2 linked regions of the Stegostoma tigrinum genome follow. Each later gene encodes a partner of the first gene's protein in a complex. Links are inferred from orthologs where the notes say so. Each region holds a gene or a part of one and is shown in the gene's direction. Other genes may lie near its edges.

Region 1 (7,872 bases):
CCGGGAAGAACCAAAAGGTGAACTATTACTTATGTAGAGAAAAACTTCAAAAAATGCAGTACAAAGTGATCTGGGCGATCTTGTATACAAGGCATAAAAAGTAAGCTTGCAGACAAGTAGTTAAGAAGACAAATGGAATTTTGGCCTTCATAACTATGTGGTAGAGTTTAAAAATAGGGAAGTCTTGTTACAACTGTAAAGGGTGTTGGTGAGGCGACACCCTGAAGTACTGTCTTGGTCCTCGTATTTCAGAAAGGATATACTGGTATTGAAAGCAGCTCAAAAAAGATTCACATGGCTGATTCCTGGGATGAAGGGATTGACTTTTCAAAAATGGCTGAAATGGTTAGGCCATTATTTATTACGGTTTAGAAGCAGGAGGGATAATCTTATTGAAGTGTACAAAATTCCGAGCATCTTGACTGGGTAGATATTGAAAATACAATTCCACTACTGGGAGAATCTTAAACTTGGCAACATAGTTACATAAAAAGGGGATACTTATTTAAAACTATGATGTGAAGGGATTTATTCTCTCAGAGGATAGTGAACGGCTGGAATTCTCTACCACAGAGTTGTAGAGGTTAGATCAAAGAAAATGTTTAAACAGAGAACAGATAGATTTTTGAACTATTAGGAATTGAGGGCTACAAGCAGATGCCACAAAAGAGGAGTTGAGGCCCGCACAGATCAGCCATAATCTTACTGAATGGCAAGGCAGGCGTGAGGGGCCAAATGTCTACTCCTGCTTCTACTTCTTATGATTTTATGCCTTTCAGAGAGATTCCTCCAGTTGCTTCGTATTTTCCCTAGCTTTTCATTTGCTCGTATGTTATTAAATCTCAAGCTTCTTCCAGATCTGCTGCAAGGTGACCGACATTAGATATTAATTCTGTTTATATCCCTGCAGAATATACTTGACTTGTTGGGTTTTTCCAGCAAGTTCTACTTATATTTTGTAGCACATTGCCTTGAAGGTGCAGAATGGCACAGAAAATGGCAGTGTGACAGGGCAAAGTAAGCTCTGAAATAGGTGCATGTCTGTTAATCTCACTGATTTAGATTGTAATAATTCATGAATCGTCTTTGTACATTAAAATAAAGATTAAAGGAAATTCTGATCCATCAATTTGAGCTGCAATTATTTGCACTAGGTAGCTTTTTATCCTCAGTTGTATTAGTGCACCTAATCACTATAAAACACATATATTAGTTCTGTAGGTTTCAATGAAAACTACTTTTCTAAGGCCTTATTAATGGACATTCTTTACATATACATACAGTAGATAGATGATATTAATTCTTCCAAACATGGCTGTTGTACTGAGGGTGAACAGTTTCATAATCTGCTGTGCATCTTGAGATTCTGACCGTCTGACATTTATTACTAGACTTCCTCCACCTGAAGCATATATTGTTGTCATTGTTGTTCTGGAAGAGAATGTACAGATAAGGAACTGAAATTACAGCATGGCATGAGGTTTTGAAGATACTTACTCAAGGTCATAACAAGCATAATTAGAAAAAACAATATTTTCAGTCGCAGATATTCAACAGCATAAATTGAAAGAATATGATAATCTTGTATAAAAATCACCAGGCCAAATTTTGAGCTCCAATAACCACTATAGATTTAAGGAGCTAAATAAATGACTAGGTATTGCAATTTAAAATTAAAATACAATGCAACTAAATGATATTACTGTATCATTAGAGGCCGAGATAATAGATAAGGTTACAAAAAGCACCTTACAAATTTTGACTCCTATCCTGCTGGACATCCTGTGAACTATATTTTGACTCTTTAAAAAGTCATTAATGAAATGAAGTTAACAAGATATCCATGATCAATATAAATTGTCAAAGTTACTTAGGTTATTTTTATTTATTCTCAGAATATGATTGTCACCAGGAATTTTTGGGCATTCCTAGTTATCTTGTGATCACTGAGGGCCTTCTCTTTGAGACACTTCAATCCTTGAGATGATGATATTTCACCATGGAATTAGGTACTTTCTAGGATGTTGCCCAATCAATGAGGAAAAACAATGATAACATGGATTTTCTTCACAACATAAGTTACACCACCACATCTCACAGATTTTGTCCCAAAGTCAAACTGTATCCAGCCATAAATTTGGAAAAAATATTGGAGGAAAAATATTAATGCATAAAGAAAATTACATATTGCACATAATAATTCTACTGGCTATAAATATCATTTCTTCAAGTTTGTTGGTAAACAACTTCAAATGATACAGAATAAAAACTGAAGCTATCCCCAGGTCAGGCTCATCTGTGGAGACACAAGAACAGTTATTCATTTCCAGAAGGAATAAACAGTAAAAGCTGCAAAATGACACACCGTGGTCAGACTTGTCTTGTGTATTTCAAAATGAACATTCAGTAGGACCAGTGATAATGGGAACTGCAGATGCTGGAGAATTTCAGTGGGGGGAGGGGAAGAACTGGGCTGGTTTTGGGATGCAGTGGGGGAAGGGGGAGATTTTGAAGCTTGTGAAGTTCACATTGATACCATTAGGCTGCAGGGTTCTGCTGTTCTTGCAACCTTCCGGTGGCATCATTGTGCCACTGCAGGAGGCCCATGATGGACATGTCGTCTGAGGAATGGGAGGGGGAGTTAAAATGGTTCACGACTGGGAGGTGCAGTTGTTCGTTGCGAACCGAACGGAGGTGTTCGCTGCACCTCCCAGTCGTGAACCATTTTAACTACCCCTCCCATTCCTCAGACGACATGTCCATCATGGACCTCCTGCAGTGCCACAAAGATGCTATCTGAAGGTTGCAAGTACAGCAAAACCCGGCAGCCCAATGGTATCAATGTGGACTTCACAAGCTTCAAAATCTCCCCTTCCCCCACTGCATCACAAAACCAGCCCAGCTCGACCCCTTCCCCCACTGCATCCCAAAACCAGCCCAGCCTGTCTCTGCTTCCCTAACCTGTTCTTCCTCTCACCTATCCCTTCCTCCCACCTCAAGCCGCACCTCCATTTCCAACCTACTAACCTCATCCCACCTCCTTGATCTGTCCGTCTTCCCTGGACTGACCTATCCCCTCCCTAACTCCTCATCTATACTCTCCTCTCTACCTATCTTCTCTTCTCTCCATCTTAGGTCCGCCTCCCCCTCTCTCCCTATTTATTCCAGTTCCCTCTCCCCATCCCCCTCTCTGATGAAGGGTCTAGGCCCGAAACGTCAGCTTTTGTGCTCCTGAGATGCTGCTTGGTCTGCTGTGTTCATCCAGCTCCACACTTTGTTATTCAGTAGGACCAGTACTTCCATTTCTGAGTGTTATCACTTTCTCTCACCACGGGTTAGAATATATTTCACAGGATCTGTAACATGTCTGACAAAATTCAGATTCTCTTCTCATATTTGTCTTACTCTATCCATCCTGGTGTAGTTAGAAAGCACTTCTACACACAAAAGTTAGTGGAGGTTTAGACTCTCTTCCACAAACAGCAGTTAAAATTCCTGTAGCACAGAAAGAAACCACTCAGCCTAAGTCTGGACAGACCCTCCAAACAGCATCCCATCCAGACCAATCACCCAAGCTATCTCTATAACCCAACATTCGCCATGACTAATCCATCTAGCCTGCACATCCATGGGCATTATGAGGCAATTTAGCATGGCCAATCCACCTAACTTACATAACTTTGAACTGTGGTGGGAAATCACAGACACAGGGAGAACATGCAAACTCATGGCTGGAATCAAAACAAAGTCCCTAGCCCAATGAGGTAGCATAGTTAACCAGCGGGCCACTGTGCCCTAAGTTCATTCTTTCATATGAATAAAGACATTAATTTAGCCAAGAAGGTCAGGCAAAGCCTGTGGAGATAAAATTTCAATTCAGTTAACGTGAGTCAAAACTGGTCACTAGAATTTCTGAAACATCAACTCTTCTCTTCATAAATGCTGCTAGATCTTGTTTCTCCTGCAATGTTTTTGTTATTGTATCAGATGTCCAGCACCTGCAACTCTTTGTTTTACCACTGAGTTTGACCAAGTCTAAGTTCAGTTTTATAATAAATCAAAGAACTGAGAATGATGGAAATCTGAAACAAAAGCAGAAATTGCTGGAGGATCTCAACAGGTCTGACAGCATTTGTGGAGAGAGAAACAGAGTTAATAATTCAAGTCCAGAGACCCTTTTTCAGACCCTCGTGAAAAAGTCGCTGGTCTCTACACGGCAGCTAACAGACCTACTGAGTTTCTCCAGCAATTTCTGTTTTTGTTTTTGCATCAGATCTTCGCAATTCGCAATAATTTGATTTATTAATGAATTTAGGCAAGTCTGGGCACACCTTTATAATCTCTGTCTACACCGAATATTAAGTTTTACCCTATCCCAGACTTAAAAAGCCCGTCACCCAATTTTTTTTTGATTAAAAAAAGAAACAAAACCTCAGCCTCCGCCGCAGCCTTCGCGCCCAAGAAGCCACAAAATGTCTTAGCAACGCGGTGTACCGGTGCCATGGCAACTGCCGTTGCTAGCACGTGGTGCGCTGCCGGGTCGGAGGTTACGTCGCGGGGTACCCGGATGTTTCTCGGGATGTTACCGGAGTGGTAGTGACGGCGGCAGGGTCTTGTTTTATTTTTTTGATCCCGAATTAGCAAAAGAACGATTAAGGGGGGGGGCTGAAATTACGACCCGAAAATGGCTTCAACCGCGGCTGGAAAACAGCGAATCCCCAAAGTGGCCAAGGTAACCAGCACTTTGCTAGGACTGTGTCGGGCCCTGTCAGGCTTTGCAGGAATTGACCAACACCGACGTTTATTCTCGACCGACAACAGCAGCAATCAATCTGTATGTCCTTGCGGTTAAAGTCAGGATGTTTAAAGTCTGGCGCAAGGACTGAGCGGTTCCTGTACTCCTCCGAACACATTTACATGCAATTTTCAACTCATGACAACCCCCGCCCCCCCGTTTGTTTCCTTTTAGAGGAAGGGCTTACATTTCCGTACCGCCTTAAGGGGATATCAAGACCATTTTAAAGTATAGTAAGTGAGGTTACAGTGAGTTAAACCTTGTTACAGTTGGAACCAAAGACACACCATATGCAAGTTTAAACGATCAACTAGCCTTAAAGTTTCTGCTTAATGCGCCTACTAGTCCAGAAAAGTTACTTGAATGTTTTGGGGCACTTCAAATGTCTCCAAAATAAATTACCCATTGTATACGTTTGTTTATATTTTGAACTTCTGTAATCATCCAATCGTAATTTTCACAAACAGAAATTGCTGGAAAAGCTCAGCGGGTCTGGCAGCTTCTGTGAAGAGAACTCGGAGTTAAGAATCATAGAATCCCTACAGTGTGGAAACAGACCCAACAAGTCCTCGTCTGTTGACAGAGCATCCCACCCATCCCCTTATAACCCACCTAATGTACACATCCCTGAACACTGCAGGCAATTTAGCATGGCCAATCCACCTAGCCTGCACATCTTTGGACTGTGGGAGGAAACCCATGCAGATACTGGGAGAATATGCAGACTTCGCACAGACAGTCACCCGAGGCTGGAATCGAACCCAGGTCCCTGGCTCTGTGAGGCAGCAGTCCTAGCCACTGTGCTACCCCGCTAACGTTTCAAGTCCAGTGACTCTTCCTCAGAACATGCAGGCTGGGAACCAATGTTTTCTATGCAGAAGATAAGGTGGAGGGAGGGGTGGTTAAGGAATAAATGTTATGTGGGTTACCACCCAGGGAGAGAGAACAGTTGGGCAGACAAAGGAGTGGGTAACGATCAGGCTAGGAGGGTGAACAGATGTTAATGGAGACTGTTAGTATGCCAATACACACTACCTACTGTTAGCCATTGTGTGTGGGTTTGGGGGCTAGGACATAGGAGAGTTTAGGCCCTAAAATAATTGAACTCAATATTGAGTCCGGAGGGCTGCAGGGTCCCCAAGTGGAAAATGAGCTGTTGTTCTTCCGGTTTGCTCTGAGCTTCATTAGAACACTGCCGCAAACCTGAGACAGATGTTAGAACATAGAAAAGTACAGCACAGTACAGGCCCTTCGGTCCACGATGTTATGCCGTGGAATAATCCTAATCCAAAAATAAAATAACCTAACCTACGTTCCCCTCAATTCACTGCTGGCCATGTGCATGTCCAGCAGTTGCTTAAATGTCACTAATGACTCTGCTTCCACGACTACCACTGGTAAACTATTCCATGCGCTCACAACTCTCTGAGTGAAGAACCTCCCTCTGACGTCTCCTCTATACCTTCCGCCTAACACCTCAAAACTATGACCCCTTGTGGCAGTCAATCCTGCCCTTGGGAAAAGTCTCTGGCTATCGACTCTATCCATGCCTCTCATTACCTTGTACACCTTGATCAGGTCACCTCTCTTCCTCCTTCTCTCCAGAGAGAAAAGTCTGAGCTCAGTCAACCTCTCCTCGTAAGAAAAGCCCTCTAGTCCAGGCAGCATCCTGGTAAACCTCCTTTGCACCCTCTCCAAAGCCTCCACATCTTTCCTAAAATAGGGCGACCAGAACTGGACACAGTATTCCAAGTGTGGTCTCACTAGGGTTTTGTAGACCTGCAGCATAACCTCGCGGCTCTTAAACTCAATCCCCCTGTTAATGAAAGCCAAATCACCATATGCTTTCTTAACAACCTTATCCACCTGGGTGGCAACTTTGAGGGAGCTATGCACTTGAACACCAAGATCCTGCTGTTCCTCCACACTGCCGAGAATCCTGCCTTTAATCCTATGTTCAGCATTTAAGTTCGACCTTCCAAAATGCATCACTTCGCATTTATCCAGGTTGAACTCCATCTGCCATTTCTCAGCCCAGCTCTGCATTCTGTCAATGTCTTGCTGAAGCCTGCAATAGCCCTCGATACTATCAATGGCACCTCCAACCTTTGTGTCATCAGCAAACATACTAACCCACCCCTCAACCTCCTCATCCAAGTCATTTATAAAAACTACAAAGAGCAGAAGCCCAAGAACAGAATCCTGCGGGACACCACTCAGCACTGACCTCCAGGCAGAATACTTACCATCTACAACCACTCTCTGCCTCCTGTCAGCCAACCAATTCTGAATCCAGACAGCCAAATCACCCTGTATCCCATACCTCCTGACTTTATGAATGAGCCTGGGGAACCTTATCAAATGCCTTGCTGAAGTCCATAAACCAGGAACAAGGTGATGGCAAGCAACTGGAAACTCAGGGTCTTTTTTGCGAGCAGACTGTATGTATTCTGTGAAGTAGTCACCCAGTCTATGCTTCGTTTCACCAATGTAGAGGAGACCACGTTAGCGGCAAATGCTGTAGACTAGATTATGAGAGGTGCAGGCAATGTGCTGCTTCACCTGGAAGATATGTTTGGGCCCCTGAATACTGACGAAAGAGGAGGCGAATGGGCAGGTGTTATACCTTCGGTTGCAGAGGAAGGTGCCATAGGGTTATGAGGGTATGATGGGAGTGAAGAAGAGTGGACCAGGGTATCCCAGAGAGAACAATCCCTGTGGTAAGCGGCCAAGGGCAGGAAATACATGTCTGGCGGTGGCATCTTGCTGGAGGTGGCGGAAATGTCAACTAATTATCTTCTGGATGGTACATTTAAAAACAAGGGGAACCCTACTGCTGTTCTGCAAGGCAAGAGTGGGTGAGTGCAGAAGTGTGGGAGATGGATCGGACGCGGTTGAGGGCCCTGTCAACGACAGTAGCCCCCAATCCCACATACCAAGCCTTATCACGTAGTCTGCCATTATATATTACCTATTGTTAGCCACTAATAGTCTCCATTAACAGCCCAGAGAGAGAGAACAGTTCACCCTCCTAGCCAGTTCATTAACCACTCCTTTGTTCAACTGTTCTTCTCTCT
Region 2 (8,285 bases), on another chromosome or scaffold:
AATTATAACTTACTGATTTGATGTTATGTTGACTACATAGAATAACACCTAAGTCTACAGCAGTGTTCAAAGTTTCTTTAAGGCATAAAGATCATCAGTTTGTAGAACTTATATATGTATAACAATCAATAACCATCACTTTTAAAAATTGCAAGTATGCTTTGCTGTAAAATATTGACATTTATCAGGCAGAGAAAAAACTTTACTGGCCTCATTAGAATGTTCACATTCTAACCCATGCAGAAGCATATACCTATGACCTTTAAGATTTCCAATGAAAAAATCTTCACAAACTTTTAATGCCCACAAGAGGAGCTCGAACAGTTCATCCATTTCACCAACACCTTCCACCCCAACCTTCAGTTCACCTGGACCATCTCCAACACATCCCTTACCTTCCTGGACCTTTCTGTCTGCTTTCCAGAGAGACCACTGGCTCCGTGACTCCCTTTTTGGCTCCACACTCCCCGCCAACCCTACCACACCCGGTACCTTCCCCTGCAACCGCAAGAAGTGCTACACCTGACCCCACACCCAGGCCCCAAGATGACTTTCCACATCAAGCAGATGTTCACCTGCACATCCGCCAATGTGGTATACTGCATCCACTGCACCCGGTGTAGCTTCCTCTACATTGGGGAAACCAAGAGGAGGCTTGGGGACCGCTTTGCAGAACACCCAGACTCCGTTCGCAGTAAACAACTGCACCTCCCAGTCGTGAACCATTTCAACTCCCACTCCCATTCATTAGACGACATGTCCATCCTGGGCCTCCTGCAGTGCCATAATGATGCCACCCGTAGGTTGCAGGAACAGCAACTCATATTCTGTTTGGGAACTCTGCAGCCTAATGGTATCAATGTGGATTTCACCAGCTTCAAAATCTCCCCTTCCCCCGCTGCATCCCAAAACCAGCCCAGCTCGTCCCTGCCCCCCTAACCTGTTCTTCCTCTCACCTATCCCCTCCTCCCACCTCAAGCCGCACCTCCATTTCCTACCTACTAACCTCATCCCGCCCCCTTGACCTGTCCATCCTCCCCGGGCTGACCTATCCCCTCCATACCACCCAACCCACACTCTCCTCTCCACCTATCTTTTCCTCTATCCATCTTCAGTCCGCCTCCCCCTCTCTCCCTATTTATTTCAGAATCCTCTCCCCTTCCCCTCTCTGATGAAGGGTCTAGGCCCGAAACGTCAGCTTTTGTGCTCCTGAGATGCTGCTTGGCCTGCTGTGTTCATCCAGCTCCACAGTTTGTTATCTTGGATTCTCCAGCATCTGCAGTTCCCATTATCACAAAGTTTTAAGAGCTGGTTTCTTATCCTCCACAAACAAGAGAATACTCAGGTTCTAAATTCATCAACAACAAAGAAATCTCGGCAACCAAAAGGCAATATGATAGGCTGGGAGACATTCAACCAGATTTACCTTGTAACAAGTTTGAAAGGATAAGACTACTTTTCATACTTAAGTTCTATCAGACATTTTGAAGAAATCAAAGAAACTCTGGGCATCATAGTGGTTCAGTGTCAATATTCATATGCCTTCACAGCAAAATATAACACCCACTAGCCTTTCTAGATATTAACTTTCAACATTCTTTGTGAAGAAGAAAATCACCTATTTCTTCAAGTTGGCATAAACTTGTAAAGTCAGAGACTTGATGGGAGAAGAAATAGTAGTAAACTTGATGTGCTTATTTAAACAATAATATACCGGGTTTAATAAGGAGGGAAAAACTGGGAGGGAGATATCATATATGATTATTGGCATGAAAAGTTTAACCTTCAAAAATTTGTATCGCTCCACCCACCAGGATCTCAGTAATTGTCTCTGTGAAGAGCAAGTCAGTTCTTGTTGAAGAGGCAGGGACGAGCCGGGCTGGTTTTGGGATGCATTGGGGGAAGGGGAGATTTTGAAGCTGTTGAAATCCACATTGATACCATTAGGCTGCAGAGTTCCCAAACGGCATATGAATTGCTGTTCCTCTTAGGAGATATCTATGTCTCTTACCACATCTAATTTGATTAACCAGCCGCTGCTGTAATAAAGGATGTATTTCATCATCTAAAAATGTTGTTCTAATGGAAGTATATTTTGAGAGTCAATATTTTCTTATAGTTTTGGGTATAAGATAAAAGTTTTTTCCAGAAAGAACCGGCACTGTTCTCTCAGTATGTAATAAACTATTTCTTGTCATTCTTGTCTGCCAAAGATTTATTGGTGGTTAACCCTTAACCATTTAATATTATTGAGTCCTGTGGTCTAGTATTACAAGCAGGGTTATATCTACCCAAAGACATTCTTAGCAGAACTAGGTCCCAGTTGAGGGCAGCCCTTACAAGAGGAAAGGGAAGGAAAGATTTACTTGTTGGTGGTGTTACGTGGGAGGTGGAGAAATTAGCAGTGGTAGAAACATAGGAAAAGGAGTAGCTTATTAAAGCTCTTGGTCAGAGGGCAAGTGGGAAAATAGAAGTGTTGACACCTCCTGTTAACCACAGTTACAGTGGGTGGGGATGAGGGGAGAGAGGAGATGGTTGGAGTGAAGAAGAAATAGAAAGACATATCAGAACCTGAAAGCTTTCCATCTTGTTAATTTCGCAACCTTCTCATTATCCTCATGGTTTTATCTCATTGACATCAGGGAATTTTAGATAACAAGAGACAACATTGTGCTGGGTGTTATAACCAGAAGGCATATTTAAATCTTCAATCACTTTACTAACAAGAGAGGTAGGTGATTGCTGAGCTGTTGGTGAATGCCTATTTTTTATTTAATCAGTCAGCTCAATATCTGATTTAAAAAAAACAGACTTAACAGGGTGGCTCAGACCTGTGGAGTGTCCACAATTCTTGAATCCAAGATAACCAGATGTGCAAGACTGAATTCAGTGGCAGCAGCAGCTGAAACTGCATGTTTTCAAGTGTGAACAGCAGCAGGTATTACTGCAGGATTGAGGGGTTTATGTGTAGTACATTTATAGATGTGGTCACTCTGCAATCTTAAGGTATGCAAGCAGAGAAGGAATGGATAACTGTCAGATAGTGAAGATTATCCAAGGAGGCAGTTCAATTTGGGCAAACTCTCTCTATTTTGAATGTTATATGAATGATGGTTCCTTTGGTGTGTCCAGCCAGCTTCTAGTCCTTGCTACCAAGCTTACTCAACACGACAGGAGAAGCAGGAAGAATATTGGAAAAGCATTAGACATCAGGGATTCAATAGCTATTGGAACATACAGAATTTTTTTCTGGCTGCAGACAAGAGTGCAAGATAAATTGCCTCTTCAGCACCAAGATCAAGGGTATCACTAAATGGCTACAAAACACTCTGAACGTGCTGGACAAATAGCCAGCTCTTATGGCTACTATCAGTATTAAGGATGTAAGTAAGAAAGAAGGATGATGTCCTCCAGAATGGATTAGGGATCTTAGAAAGAAGCCAGCTAGCAGGAGCTCAATGGTAGTAATTTGCAAATTATTCCCAGTAACATAAACTATTGTTTAGGAGTTTACGGGTTATGGTTGCCTGAAGCGTGCTTGCTGGGATGGTTCAGGAAGAAGGGCTTTGGATATCTGACACTTTGGGACTGGTTCTTGCGAGGTGTGACCTGTGCACCTTAACAGAGTCAGGACCAATGTCCTTACAGGCCTATTTGCTACTGCTGCTGCTGGGGACGATTTAAACCATTTGGGCAGAGGTGTGGGAACCAGGAGGTGACATAAAAGAGGAAGATCAAAATATATAGAGGATTAGGAGAGACAAATAGCATTAGAGTGAAAAATGGTGTTAGTTTGGGTGTGGGTGAGAGAAAATGTGCTAATGTCTAAACTATATTTACTTTTAAGAATGTATTAGAACATGCTAAATAAGACAGGTGAGCTCCAGTTGCAGGTAGCCACATGGAAATATGATGTTTTAGTGATAACAAGAGGTCTGGCATAATAAAAGGCAGAGTGTGGTATTAATAATCCCCAATACGAGGCATTCAGGAAAAAGAGGGAAGGAAAGATAGATCGAGGAATAGTTGTACTGATTAAGGAGAACATCGTAGTGTCAAAAGAGGGAGAGGATCTCCTAAAGTGTTCAGGACAGAAACTATTTTGTTAGCGCTAACAAACAATAGTAATACCAAATAAAAACTGGAAGAACTGCGGATGCTGTAAATCAGAAACAAAAACAAATTTGCTGGAAAAGCTCAGCAGGTTTGACAACATCTGTGAAGGGAAAAACAGAGTTAACATTTCAAGTCCGGTGACCCTTCCTCAGAACGCTGCCAGACTTGCTGAGCTTTTCCAGCAGCTTTTGTTTTAGTACCACTACATTGTTGGATGTATTCTATCAGACACTAAAGTGAAAAATATAGAGAACAAATTTGCATCAAAATTACAGAGATGTAGAACAATGAAGCAAGAGGACTAGAGAATTGCAAAAGTTATTGTTCAAGAAACAGTACAAGAATTGCAACTACAGGAATGTCTCTTTAAATATTTTAATCAGCCTGTTCAGAAATATCATGACACACCTCTGTTTACTACGTGCAACTTAAAACATTGAGCTCCTGGCCCCAGTAGGGGCACGAGCACCACACCGCAAGAGCTCAATCCAGTCATTTTAATCTTGGTGATGACAAAACTTTCAGACATGACAAGGTTACGGCTCACTGGGACAACTGAAAGTTAATTAAGGAAAACCAGCTTGGATGTGTTAAAAATGTCTGTTTCTTTCACTATCCCCAATGACAGACAACCTCATCCTCGCATGTACTGGGATTAAAATTCTCCGAAGGTTGATGACCTTTTGTCAGAACAAATGACAATTATGCATTTCCAATACAGTGGATTAATCAGATTTTATAATTTGCATTTATCTGCATTTGTTCAAGTAGCCAAATTGCGTATTGTTTTCCGACATTGAGAATTCAAGCGAAATCTCGATCACAGCGTGTGATTGGTGGCGTGCGTCAGTAGGTGGTGGTGTGTGCGGAGTTCTCCACTTTCCTGTTGCGGTCCTTCTTGCTCCTCTCCTTCCGCCCTTATCCGGGATGAGGAGCTGCTGTGGTAAAATTTGGGACTTTACTGCGAAATGAAGTGAGTAGGCGATTAAATTGATGTAGTTGCTGGTTTAACAAACAGCATCACTAAAGGGAGGAAATTACCTGTCCGGTATGGACAGGTAAGAGGTTTCTCTGAGTTACTTCAAGGTGGTAAAGGATCAGTGGCAGGATTTTTTATTTAAAATGTCCACCGTTCCTGAAAGAAAGGAACCTGCTTTCAGCACCAACTCTTAGTTCTTGGGAATTATTTAAGTAAAACACTAAAGACGGTTAATGACAGTGGTTTGATCGGAATAAAATGTGGCCAGAAGTATCTGAGTTGTTTGCCAACTGAAGTTTCAACGTGAAACGAATCAGTCGTTAATAAAACCGTGGAAAGGTTAATAACTTGGCATGACCATAAATGTGAATGAAATGGTAGCTGCTGCTTTGTCAGTCACTGTATTTTTGTCCTTTGCATCACCCCGTGCCTTGACATTTTTCTTTCAACAATCTCCCAAAAGCCTTTCTGTCTCCTTATGTTTCCAGTTTCCCTTCCCATTCCCATTATCATTTCCTGTAGCCTGTGAAGCAGTTTCATGGATTTTCACAGTATTTGAGGAGCATAATAAAAATGCGGGTTATTGAACTAGGATTCAGCTCGTCTGGCCAGCAAAACAACACTCTGCACTGATTTAGAGGGCCTTTGGAACATTTTCAAGATGAATTACTGAGCTTGGGAGAAGTGGTGAACAAAATAAAAGAGACAACCGTAAACCCAGTGGTGAAAACCGTGAGCTTCTTCAAACTAGGCATTTGTGGAAGGGAAGTGACTGTAAACTAAAATGAAAGCAAATGTGTAGAAATTCAAAATAGCTCTAGAAAATGCTGGAAACAGTTCTGTCCTACCATTTAATATGCGAGTGAAAAGTAGCCTCAACTCTGTTCAAGACTTCTTTTATTTTGAAACGAATACAGTTTGCACCCAAATCAGATGATCTTGCCTCTCATTAGATCAACTGGACAAAGTCTATTGCAAATGACACTTATGTAAGTGCATGTAGTCTGGGAAAGACTGAGTAGTCATCTGCACTCAACCCAACAATGTTACAAATACCAGCTTGGCCAAATATCCACTTGAGGATAATATATTTAAGTTATTTAATTTAATTTAATTTAATTTAATTTATTGCTGGAAAAACTCAGCAAGTTTGGCAGCATCTGTGGAGAGAAGAATTTCAGTTCTGAGGAAGTGTCACTGGCCCCAAAACATTAACTTTGATTTCTCTCCACAGATTCTGCCAGATGTGCTGAGTTTATCCAGCAGTTTCTGTTTCTGATTTTGATTTCCAGCATCTGCAGTTTTTTTTCATTTTTTTTATTATTGTTTGCAGAATCAGAATGTAAGCTATGGAAATTTCCTCTGATAGAATATGTTGTTTTCTTTTCAATACATGTAAAATGCTTTTCTTATTAATTCATGGGATGAGGGAATCGCTGGCAAGGTCAGCATTTACTACCAAGCATCAGTTGCCCTGTAGAAAATGGCAGTGAACCTTCAACTACTGTGCTCCTTGGTGTTTCCTCTGGCCCATCCTTGTGCTGATGAGATATCTATTCGGGATTTTGACCAATGACAATGAATAGCTCATATCCAAATCAGAATTTTGTGTGTTTTGAAAGAGAACTTGTGGGTGGTAGTGTTCCCATGCATTTTCTGCCCTTTTTCTTCTAGATTATAGAAATCAAGGGTTTGGAAGGTAGAGTCTAAGCAGTTTGGCAAGTTGTTGCAAATGCAAATTGTAAATGGTACGCATTGCTGTAATTATATGTCGCTGGTAAAAGCAGTGAATGTTGAAGGTGTTAGATGCGGTCGCAGTCAAACAGGCAGTATTTGGACAGAGGCTGCTTTAGTATTGGAGGAGTTGCAAATGGTGCAGAAATTGTGCAGTCATCAGTGAAGGATCTCACTTCTGACATTTACAATGGAGAGAATGTTGTTGAAGATGGTCGGGTCTGGGACACTACCCTGAGTAACTCCCGTGTCTCAGTTGATTGACTCCAACAACACAACCACCTTCCTGTGTGCTAAACAGCAGGGAGTTACCCTCTCCCCCTCCAATTCTGATGAACTCCAGTTTACTGTGGCTCCTTAATGCCATACACAGTCAAATGCTGCTTTGATATAGAGGTAATCACCCTTACTGCCCCTCTGGAGTTCAGCTGTTTTGACTTAATTTATAATGAGGTCAGGAACAGAGTGGTCTGTTAGAACCCAAGCTGAGAGTCTAGTAAACAAATTGTTGTTGAGTAAGTACTGCTTGAAATCACAGGTGGTGATGGTGCTTTCTGTATTTTCGTTAGAGGATAGACTGATGGGATGGAATTGTTGAGTGGGATCTGTCCTGCTTATTGTGGATAGGATGTAATCAGGAAATTATACATATTGCTGGATAGATCCCAATGTTGTAGCTGCAGTGTACGAGCTTAGCTAGGGTTGCTGCTAGTTCTGAAGCGTAAGTCATCAGTGGTATTGCTCGAATGTTGTCCAGACCGATTACCTTTGCAGAGTCCAGTGACCAGTTTTTATTTGCCATTATGTGGAATAAATTGAACTGGATGTAGCTGGAACCTGTGATGCTGGGGACCTCAGGAAGAAGCTAAGATAGAGCATCCACTAGACACTTTTGGCTGAAACTGTAGGAAAATGCTTAAGCCTTCACATTGACCTGCTGGGTTCCCAATCATTGAGATAGAGATCTTTGTGGAGCCGCCGCCTCCAGTGAATTGTTACATAGTCCACCACCATTCACAACTGGATGCAGCGGACTGTAGAGCTTAGATCTTAAGATGGATGCCTTTGTCATTGTTCCACAGTCTAGTTAAACAACTGCCTGATTCTCAGTTTGAGCTCCAACAGGATTACTCAGCTGCTGACCTCAAAAGTGTTCTGAGATAGGGTCACCAAACCCAAAACGTTAACTCTGATTTTTTTCTTCACAAATGCTGTCAGACCTACTGAGCTTTTCCAGCAACTTCTGTTTTTGTTCCTGATCTACAGCATCGACAGTTCTTTCAACCTTAATACGAGGTTGGTCCAAACACGGACAAAAGAGTTGAGGTGAGGTAAAAATGACTGCCCTTGACATAAACACAGCATTTGACCAAGTAGGGCTTTAAGGAGCCTTGGAAAACCTGGAATCGGTAGGAATAAGATGGCATTTGTTTGCTGATTACAGTTATACCCAGGA

What was found. Proteins that work in one complex are often made in the same cells at the same time.
Region 2: crnkl1 (region 1) and rbmx2 share a complex: the UniProt entries of both Homo sapiens proteins name them as parts of the minor spliceosome. The link is inferred for Stegostoma tigrinum from reciprocal best matches to the Homo sapiens genes CRNKL1 and RBMX2.

What each region holds. Positions count from the first base shown.
Region 1 is NC_081362.1:14,517,237-14,525,108, forward strand, and holds the start of crnkl1 (crooked neck-like protein 1), read left to right. Parts: upstream 1-4,562; 5' UTR 4,563-4,684; coding exon 4,685-4,732; intron 4,733-7,872. Other genes in the region: cfap61 (cilia- and flagella-associated protein 61), read right to left, coding at 1,282-1,424. UniProt on the Homo sapiens protein: Involved in pre-mRNA splicing process. As a component of the minor spliceosome, involved in the splicing of U12-type introns in pre-mRNAs.
Region 2 is NC_081368.1:47,499,210-47,507,494, forward strand, and holds the start of rbmx2 (RNA-binding motif protein, X-linked 2), read left to right. Parts: upstream 1-4,884; 5' UTR 4,885-5,084; coding exon 5,085-5,089; intron 5,090-8,285. UniProt on the Homo sapiens protein: Involved in pre-mRNA splicing as component of the activated spliceosome. As a component of the minor spliceosome, involved in the splicing of U12-type introns in pre-mRNAs.